Linked DNA regions of Mus musculus. The protein of the gene in region 1 interacts with the protein of each later gene in a pairwise test. Links are inferred from orthologs where the notes say so. Each region holds a gene or a part of one and is shown in the gene's direction. Other genes may lie near its edges.

What was found. The genes of interacting proteins can lie anywhere in the genome.
Region 2: the proteins of Kpna2 (region 1) and Sertad3 interact in binary tests that used the Homo sapiens proteins (3 or more experiments, as listed by UniProt). The two-hybrid records come from large-scale screens. The link is inferred for Mus musculus from reciprocal best matches to the Homo sapiens genes KPNA2 and SERTAD3.

What each region holds. Positions count from the first base shown.
Region 1 is NC_000077.6:106,996,714-107,000,702, reverse strand, and holds the start of Kpna2 (importin subunit alpha-1), read left to right. Parts: upstream 1-1,177; 5' UTR 1,178-1,344; intron 1,345-3,367; 5' UTR 3,368-3,390; coding exon 3,391-3,465; intron 3,466-3,989.
Region 2 is NC_000073.6:27,472,487-27,476,663, forward strand, and holds the start of Sertad3 (SERTA domain-containing protein 3), read left to right. Parts: upstream 1-1,353; 5' UTR 1,354-1,385; intron 1,386-3,653; 5' UTR 3,654-3,656; coding exon 3,657-4,177.

The sequences.
Region 1 (3,989 bases):
GTTATTGGTTTTTTGTTTTTGTTTTTCGAGACAGGGTTTCTCTGTGTAGCCCTGGCTGTCCAGGAACTTACTCTGTAGACCAGGCTGGCTTCGAACTCAGAGAACTCAGAAATCCGCCTGCCTCTGCCTCCCAAGTGCTGGGATTAAAGGTGTGCGCCACCACCACCGGGCTAATAAATTATTGTTACCATATTTGCTGCTTCCATTGTCCTTTTTCTTTTTCTTTTTTTTTTTTTTTTTTTGCTTCTGTCCTGGAACTCACTCTGTAGACCATGCTGGCCTCGAACTCAGAAATCCGCCTGCCTCTGCTTCCTGAATGCTGGGATTAAAGGTGTGCGCCACCACTGCCCGGCTTCCATTGTCTTTATTTTCCAAGTAATCTAAAAGTTTACCACACGGGACAAAGTGGGGCATGTCTGTAATCCCAGAACTGACGTTGAGGAAGGATTGCATTAGGTTCAAGGCTAGCCTGGGCTCTATTGTTAATGTGAGACCCTGCCTCAATCCCACTCCCCATGATAAAAATTAAATAACCAGTAAATAGCACAAACAATAATATAGCGATACAACTAATGATTGCCTAAAGATAAAATAATCAACAAATACTATAAACAATATAGTGATACAACTAATGGTTAAGAGGCACACAGATCCACGTTCTCCCGGTGACCAGCTCCTGATGTAAAATTTTTTTAAAGTAAATATATTTCTCTTTTCTTTTATTGATTGATTGACTGATTGGTTGATTGAGACAGGGTCTCACTATTTAGCCCTGGTTGGCCTGGCTGTATAAACCAGGTTTGCCTTGAACTCCTAGTGCTGGGATTAAAAGCCTGCGCCAATCACCGCAAGCTAAGCCTTTTTTTACAAGTGTAATAATAATTTCGTGTGTTTGTTTAAGGACAAGCCCAGGGAAAGCAAACAGGGTACGGCCCAGTGTCCATCTAAGCATAGACGAAACGCAGGTCTCCATGCTGTGTGCTGAGATCTGGAGTCACCCTTCTGCAAGGCACCCTGGGATTGCCCGGCCGCTCCCTCATCTCGCGACGCTTCCCTGCTTACCGCCCCACCCCCACCTTTTTTTTTTTTTTTCCCCTACGACCTGCGTCTGCGTCCCACCCCCACCCCCGCCTAACGTGTTTTTCAAACCTACCAATGAACGCGCAGCTTAGGCTCAAATCAGCCAATCGGAACGCGGCGTCACCGGGAAATTTAAATCGCGCCGGCCGGCAGCACGAGGCACAAAATCTGAGGGCTGAAGGGTAGCAGACGTTTCCACAGCCGCCGACCCGCAGCTTGAGTGTCCTGCACCACCTTTCGTGGAAATCTGAGCCGGCTGTACAGGTAGGAACGGAAGCCGGTCCTGAGCAGTAACGGCCGGACGGAAGGCTGCGGGGCGGAGGGCGGGAGCAGGCCGCGCCCGGGCCGGAGCTGAGCCTCCCTGCTCCGACCAGGCCTCGGGGCGGGTTGGTTTCGCCACGCCGGGGTCAGGGTTGGCAACGCCGGGCGCTGCGGAGGGCAGCGAAGGCCTGGGAGCGGCTCGGGTCGGCGTGGAGGGACCGGAGGGCAGCCGCAGTCGAGCGGACCTACCTGGCTGTGCCGCCGCTTTCCTGATGCTTCTGCCCCGGGGAGGAGACGCAGCTTTGGGCAGGGGATGAAGGTGGCAGTTAAGACACCCCAGTTAAGCCCTTGACCCGGATCACCTGGGTCAGGGTCGAGGACGGACATAAAGCAGTTAAACCTACTAGCTTACCAGGGTACTTTGGGTTCCTGTCCCTTCGCGACGACCACACCTGGGTTCTATCGAGCCCCACTGATCACAGCTGATGTCATCCCGGCTGAATGCATTCTCTGGAAGTGTGTGCAAGATGCGGCGTTAATGCCATTGCTGACAGCGATGATGTGATGGAAGGCCCTATAATGGAACGAACCGATTCTTTATGTAACTTGCAAGAGGGTACTAGTATGGATCCGTTTTGGCCATCGATCAACAGAAAACGAGAGCTGCGTTTATTGCCTTAAGGACGTAGATGGTTGCCAGGCATTGTTGGCGCACGCCTTTAATCCCAGCACTTGGGAGGCAGAGGCAGGCCGATTTGAGTTCGAGGACAGCCAGGGATACACACAGAAACCCTGTCTCGAAAAATAAAACAAACAAAGGACGTAGATTGTTCTCCTACTTGGTGTTCTATTAACTAATGGAGCCTAGAATTTAGATCCTTGACTTAATACCGTGCTGGCTAGAGGCTTAAGACTATTGAGTGTTTGAAAAGCCGCTAATCTGTTGAGATGCCCCGTGTGCTTAAACTACCCATTGGATTTTGAAGGTGTATAAAAACAGTAAGACATCTCAATTTTTCTGTATTGATGACATCCTCAAATGGTAATAGTTTAGCTATATTGGGTAAAAGTCTTAAAATTAATTTCCTTCCTTCCTTCCTTTCTTTTTGTTTTTTCGAGGCAGGGTTTCTCTGTGTAGCCCTGGCTGTCCTGGAACTCTGTGGACCAGGCTGGCCTCGAACTCAGAAATCCTCCCGCCTCCCAAGTGCTGGGACTAAAGGAGTGCGCCACCACTGCGGGGCTCACTGTGGTTAGTGGAAATTTTAAATTATCTTTTTTTAAAATTTTTTTTGATTGACAGTTAAGTTGCCTTTGTAGTAAGGGGCAATTATGGCTTAGTATTATAGCCATAATGATGAAAACTTGTAGGATTTTGTTTTGTTTTTATTTTATTTATATATTTTTGAGACAGGGTTTCCTGAGTAGTCCAGGCTGTCCTGTAATTCACTCTGTATACTAGACTGGCCACAAACTCAGATCCGTTTTACCTCTGCCTCCTGAGTGCTTGGAGTGCTTTGCCATCACTGCCAGGCTGTGTTGTGTCGTCATCTTTGTTTTTGTTTTTTTTTTTTTTTTTTTTGGTTTTTGTTTTTGGTTTTTCGAGACAGGGTTTCTCTGTATAGCCCTGGCTGTCCTGTCCTGGAACTCACTTTGTAGACCAGGCTGGCCTCGAACTCAGAAATCCACCTGCCTCTGCCTCCCAAGTGCTGGGATTAAAGGCGTGTGCCACCGTTGCTGCTTTTTAAATCTAGTATAGAAATGGAGTTGAGATTTAGTTGATTATAACATGCTATTGTATATTTCTGTTTGTTTCATCTTAAGATAGGGTTTCTCTATGTAGACCTAGCTGGCCTGGAACTCTCTACAGACCAGGCTGGCTTCAAACTGATAGAGATCTGGTTGTCTCTGCCTCCCAAGTGCTAGGATTAAAGGCGTGTATTACTCTACCCAGCTTCTGTTGCATTCTTATTAAAAATACTTTTTCTTTGTTTCTTTTTTTTTCTTCTCACCCTCCCTTGGCTCCTAGCTTTCCTCCTTGTTCCTGCAGCCATGTCCACGAACGAGAATGCTAACTTACCAGCTGCCCGACTTAACAGGTTCAAGAACAAGGGGAAGGACAGCACAGTGAGTACCTTCTGTTGCTTTCCTGCGTGCTTGTAAAGGGAAGGGGGATGTTTATATAACAACAGTTCTGAGGGACTGGGGATTGAATCCTAGAGCTTCACACTCAGGCTAGGTAGGTTTTTTTCTGTGCCCAAGCTTCATCTCTAGTTTTAGGTATTTAAACTTTTAAAATTGCATTTATTTATTATTTACTTTTGTGTATGTGGGGGGAGGATTTTTATGTGCACCTGTTGTACATGTAGAGGAATTTCCTCCTCTACATGGCTCTGAAAGATTGAAGGCCTCAGACTTGGTGGCAAGTGCCTTTATTCGCTGAGCCATCTCTTGTTGGTCTTTGAAGGATTTAAAAAAAAAATCACAACTGGGTGGGGTGCTGAACACCTTTAATCTCAGCACTTAGGAGGCAGAGGCAGGTAGATCTCTGAGTTTGAGGCCAGTCTGGTCTACAAAATGAGTTACAGGACAGCCAGAGCTACACAGAAAAACATTGGCTTGAAAAACCAAAAAGGGGGGGAAAAAAAGGA
Region 2 (4,177 bases), on another chromosome or scaffold:
TGCAATAAGGTAAGGGAGAAAAGCCCTGTGTTTATTTCTTAGGAGATATTGGAAGCCATCTTAGAAAAACTGAAAGCAAGCTAGACAAGCTGGTAATGCCTAAATCCTAGCACTAGAAAAACGAAGCAGGAAGATGAAAGATTCCAGAATAGCTTAGGCTACACAGCAAAACGCTGTCTCAGAAAACAAACAAAAAAGTGGCTGGGGATGTAGCTCAGTGATAAGAGTACTTTGGCTAGCACCACCTCGGTGTTCCGTGCCCAACACCACAAAAACTAAGCAAAAGGAATTTTCTTTAGGGACACACCTGCAGCTCCAGGACTAGCAATATGGAAGCCAAGCATGATTAGAATTTCAAGGCCCTTGTCTACACTGGAGTCCTGCTTCACGAGACTGCCTAAAACAAAAAGAATCCGAAAGTGAGTCCTAGAAAACAGGAAGGAGGGTACCAGAGACCAAATAGTGAAGAGCAAGCTAACCCTTCACTACGAAACCATATCACAAAATTAAACACACACACACACACACACACAAAATTTTAAATCTTAGCTCAGTTCTACGGTGTTTGTTCAAAATGCTCAAATGTTAAATCCCCAAAACTAAAAATAATAATAATAATAATAAGTTTGAGTTTGTTCCCAGAGTTGTGAGCAGTCTTTAAGAGTAAACAGCAACAGGCAGACAAATGCGGAAAACGAAAGCGTTGCCTGGGATCCAGGAGGTTCCCCCAAACAAGCAGCAGACCCCTCTAGGTTAAGCATAGACTCCTCCTACAAGACGGGTTGGGGGTGGGGAAGCAGAGCTCCGCCAGCTAAGGGGCGGGGCTGCGGTCGTTCAGGCAACGCAAGCCGCATCATGCTATTGGCTGCTGTCTAGTGCGTCATCCCCCCCCCCGCCCTCCGGTTTGACCCAGCCTTCGGAACTCCGGGGGGCGTGGCCTCCACCATCTGCCCCAAGCCTGCAAAACCGCAGGGAGGGGAGAATGGTGTCACCCGGTGTCACTCTTCAGTGGGGTCTGGTATAAGGGGTCTGCAGTGAAACAGAGGAGTGAGAAACACAGCTGGGTCCAAAGTAGCAGTTCTGACGGCGTTACCAGACTCCACCGTGGAGACTCCGCTCCGCCCCCTGACCAGTAGCCAACCTAAACCGGACCCGGCCCAGTGATGGACGGGGCCTAGCATCCGTGGCTCCTCTTAGCCAATGGCGCCCCGCGGCGGGCAGGATTCCAACCAATCCTGGCTTGCGACTGGCCTCCGGGGAGGAGCCGAGTGGCCCCCAGCCAGACCCAGAGGCCCGGGGAAAGTGAGCCGGACTTCTACCCAGCACTGGTGGAACCCAACCCTGCAGGCTTGTCGGAGGTAGTCGTGGCGACCCTGGCAGCCGAGGTGAGGAGTGGCCGCCTGTGTGAGATTTCCCTGGAGTTAGAGGAGGACGGGGGCGCGCCCCCACGGTAGGCGGAAGCGGGGTATCCCGAGTGGAGAGCAGATTGGTGTGATTGATGGACATTGGAGGGTGGAAGGCTGAATTCCAGCATCAGCACCGAAGGGGGAGCAGGATTACTCAGGAGTTGGAGTTTGGAGAAGCCAGGAAAACGGAGAAAGAACTTTGGAGGAGAGTGTAGGACAGTTTGAGTCTCGAAGAATAGGCTGAGTTTGGAGTTCCACGGTGTTCTGGACAAAGTGAGCGTTTTAAGGCTAGGATATGAAGCATTTAGAGGAACCCGGGAACTAGAGGAACCGAGTATTGGATTCTGAGACGCCGTCGTGAGAAGGGAATGCCGGGGAAGAGTTCACTGACTGGGTCTCGGAGCCGGACTGGGTATTTGGAAAGCCAGAGTCATTTGAAAGTGGAGCCGAATGAGGGGAGATTTGGGACGAGGTCTCAGAATTGGGATATCCAGTTTCGCCGGCGGAACTATGTACCCGAGAGTTATTTGTCGTCTTTGGGCGATGTGATGGGATTTGGACCTCTGCACACCGAGGACAGTTTGGGGAAGAATCCAGAACTTCCTGGGGTGATAGGGACCCAGAGAAAACAGGTTTCTGACTGAAGCCTGGTGGGGGAGGGGCGCTCGGGGCGTGGAGCTCGGATTCACCGCCCCGAAGGCAGTAGAGGGCGGGGCTCGGCGGCCGCTGGGCAGCTGAAGTCCGGGTTCCCTTCCCCCACCAGCCGGAGCTCCCGTACGCATGCTCTCAGAGAGGGCGGGCGTGTCCAGTCTCTTGGGTGTGCTGGGCCTTCTGGGGATTGTAGTTCCAACGCGACAGCCGAAGCTCTGCCTGGAGCCTTTGGGTCCACAGTTCCCAGAAGGCCCTGAGGATACATTGAGGTGTTCTTGGGTCTGGTCTAGCGACCCAGGGAAGGGTGGTGCCTATAAAAAGAGATGATTGGGTTGGACTGGTCGCTAGAGGGTGCAGTTTGTGGTTAGTTTCGCTCTAGCTGGCTTTCCTTTGGGTCGGAGTTTGGGAAATACTCCCTCTCTTTTGAGAGGTCATAGACTCAATTGTAGGAAGCAGGTACGGACAGAAATATTCTTGTTAAAAAAGGAGAAAAAAAAAAGAATTTAAACACACACGTCCCAGCTAAGCCTCGTCTCACACACATTTAATCCCAGCCTTCAGGGAGGAAGAGGCGGTACGATATGAGTTCGAGACACAGCCTGATCCACATAGGGAGTTCCAGAGCAATACAGAGAAACCCTGTCTCAAGTTTGGGTTTGGTCCATTACTCTGTGCTCCATACCTGTTTGTCCTGTGACCTGTTAGGAAAAAAGTATTGTGGGAAAACAATAACAAGATCTATTGAGACCAGAGTTAGGATTTTCACTTTCCAAATGTTAAAATTGATTACCATAATGTAAATTCAACGTTGTGCCTACCACAGACAAGTGATACTCAAGCCATGCCCGGATGTTTTGGTGATTTGTTTTAGGGCTTTTTTGTTTTTCTGAGACAGGTTTGTCTGACCATATTAAACTCTACCTGCTTCTGCCTCCTGGATGGGTGCTGAAATTAATGGCATAGGACACCATCTGCAATTTTTTTTTCTGTTCATTTTCCTATTTTAAATTTTATGTGTATGGATGTTTTGCCTGCATGCTTGTCTGGGCACTACTTGTGTGCCTGGTGGCAAAGGAGGCCAGAAGAAGCCATGGATCCTCTAAAAGTGGAGTTTTAGGCAGTCCTGAGCCATCCATGCAGGTTCTGGGGATCGAACTTGGATCCTCTAGAAGAACAGACAGTGCTCGTAACCACTCAGCAATTTTTCCAGCTCCTTTTATTTTTGAGACACTGCCTAGCTGAGGGTGACCTTGAACATCTGAACTCACTGCCTCCTTAATACAGAGGAGGTGACAGCTACAGGAGTCTCTCCACCCTCACTACTACCTGCTCCCACTCTGTGTCCTGTGCACCCCTCCTCACACTCACTTACCAGTCCCAGCAATCCTATCTGCATCTTGTTCTCTCAATCACATTGCATGCATTAATTTACCCATTCTTAGCCTTGTGGGATTCTCTGTGCACTTTAAATGGAGGTTCTGATACACACACACATACACACACACACACACACACACACAAAAGCTTCCCATAGCTACACAGGCTTGCTTGAAGAAGTAAGGTCCCAAGGTATCTGACTCCACTCTTTTTTCACAGGACATGGGAGGCTTAAAGAGGAAACATTCTGATTTGGAAGAGGAGGAGGAAGAGGAGAAGTGGGACTGGAGTCCAACAGCTCTTCGGAGCTACCAGCAAGCCCTGCTCCGAATCTCTCTGGACAAAGTCCAGCGCAGCCTGGGCCCCAGAGCACCCAGCCTCCGCAGGCACGTCCTTATCCACAACACACTCCAGCAGCTCCAGGCTGCCATTCGCCTCGCTCCAGCACCAGCCCTGCCCCCGGAACCTCTCTTCCTAGGTGAAGAAGATTTCTCCCTATCTACCACCATCGGTTCCATCCTCAGGGAGCTAGATACATCCATGGATGAGATGGAGCCGCCTCTGAATCCAGCAGCTTCCTCGAGTCCCCAGAATGAGATCGTGTCCCAGGCTGATCCTGTATTCTTAGAAGCTCTGAGCTCAAGGTACCTGGGAGACTCTGGCCTGGATGACTTCTTTCTGGACATTGATACATCTGCGGTGGAAAAGGACGTTGCACTTCCACCCCCGGAGCCGCCGCACAG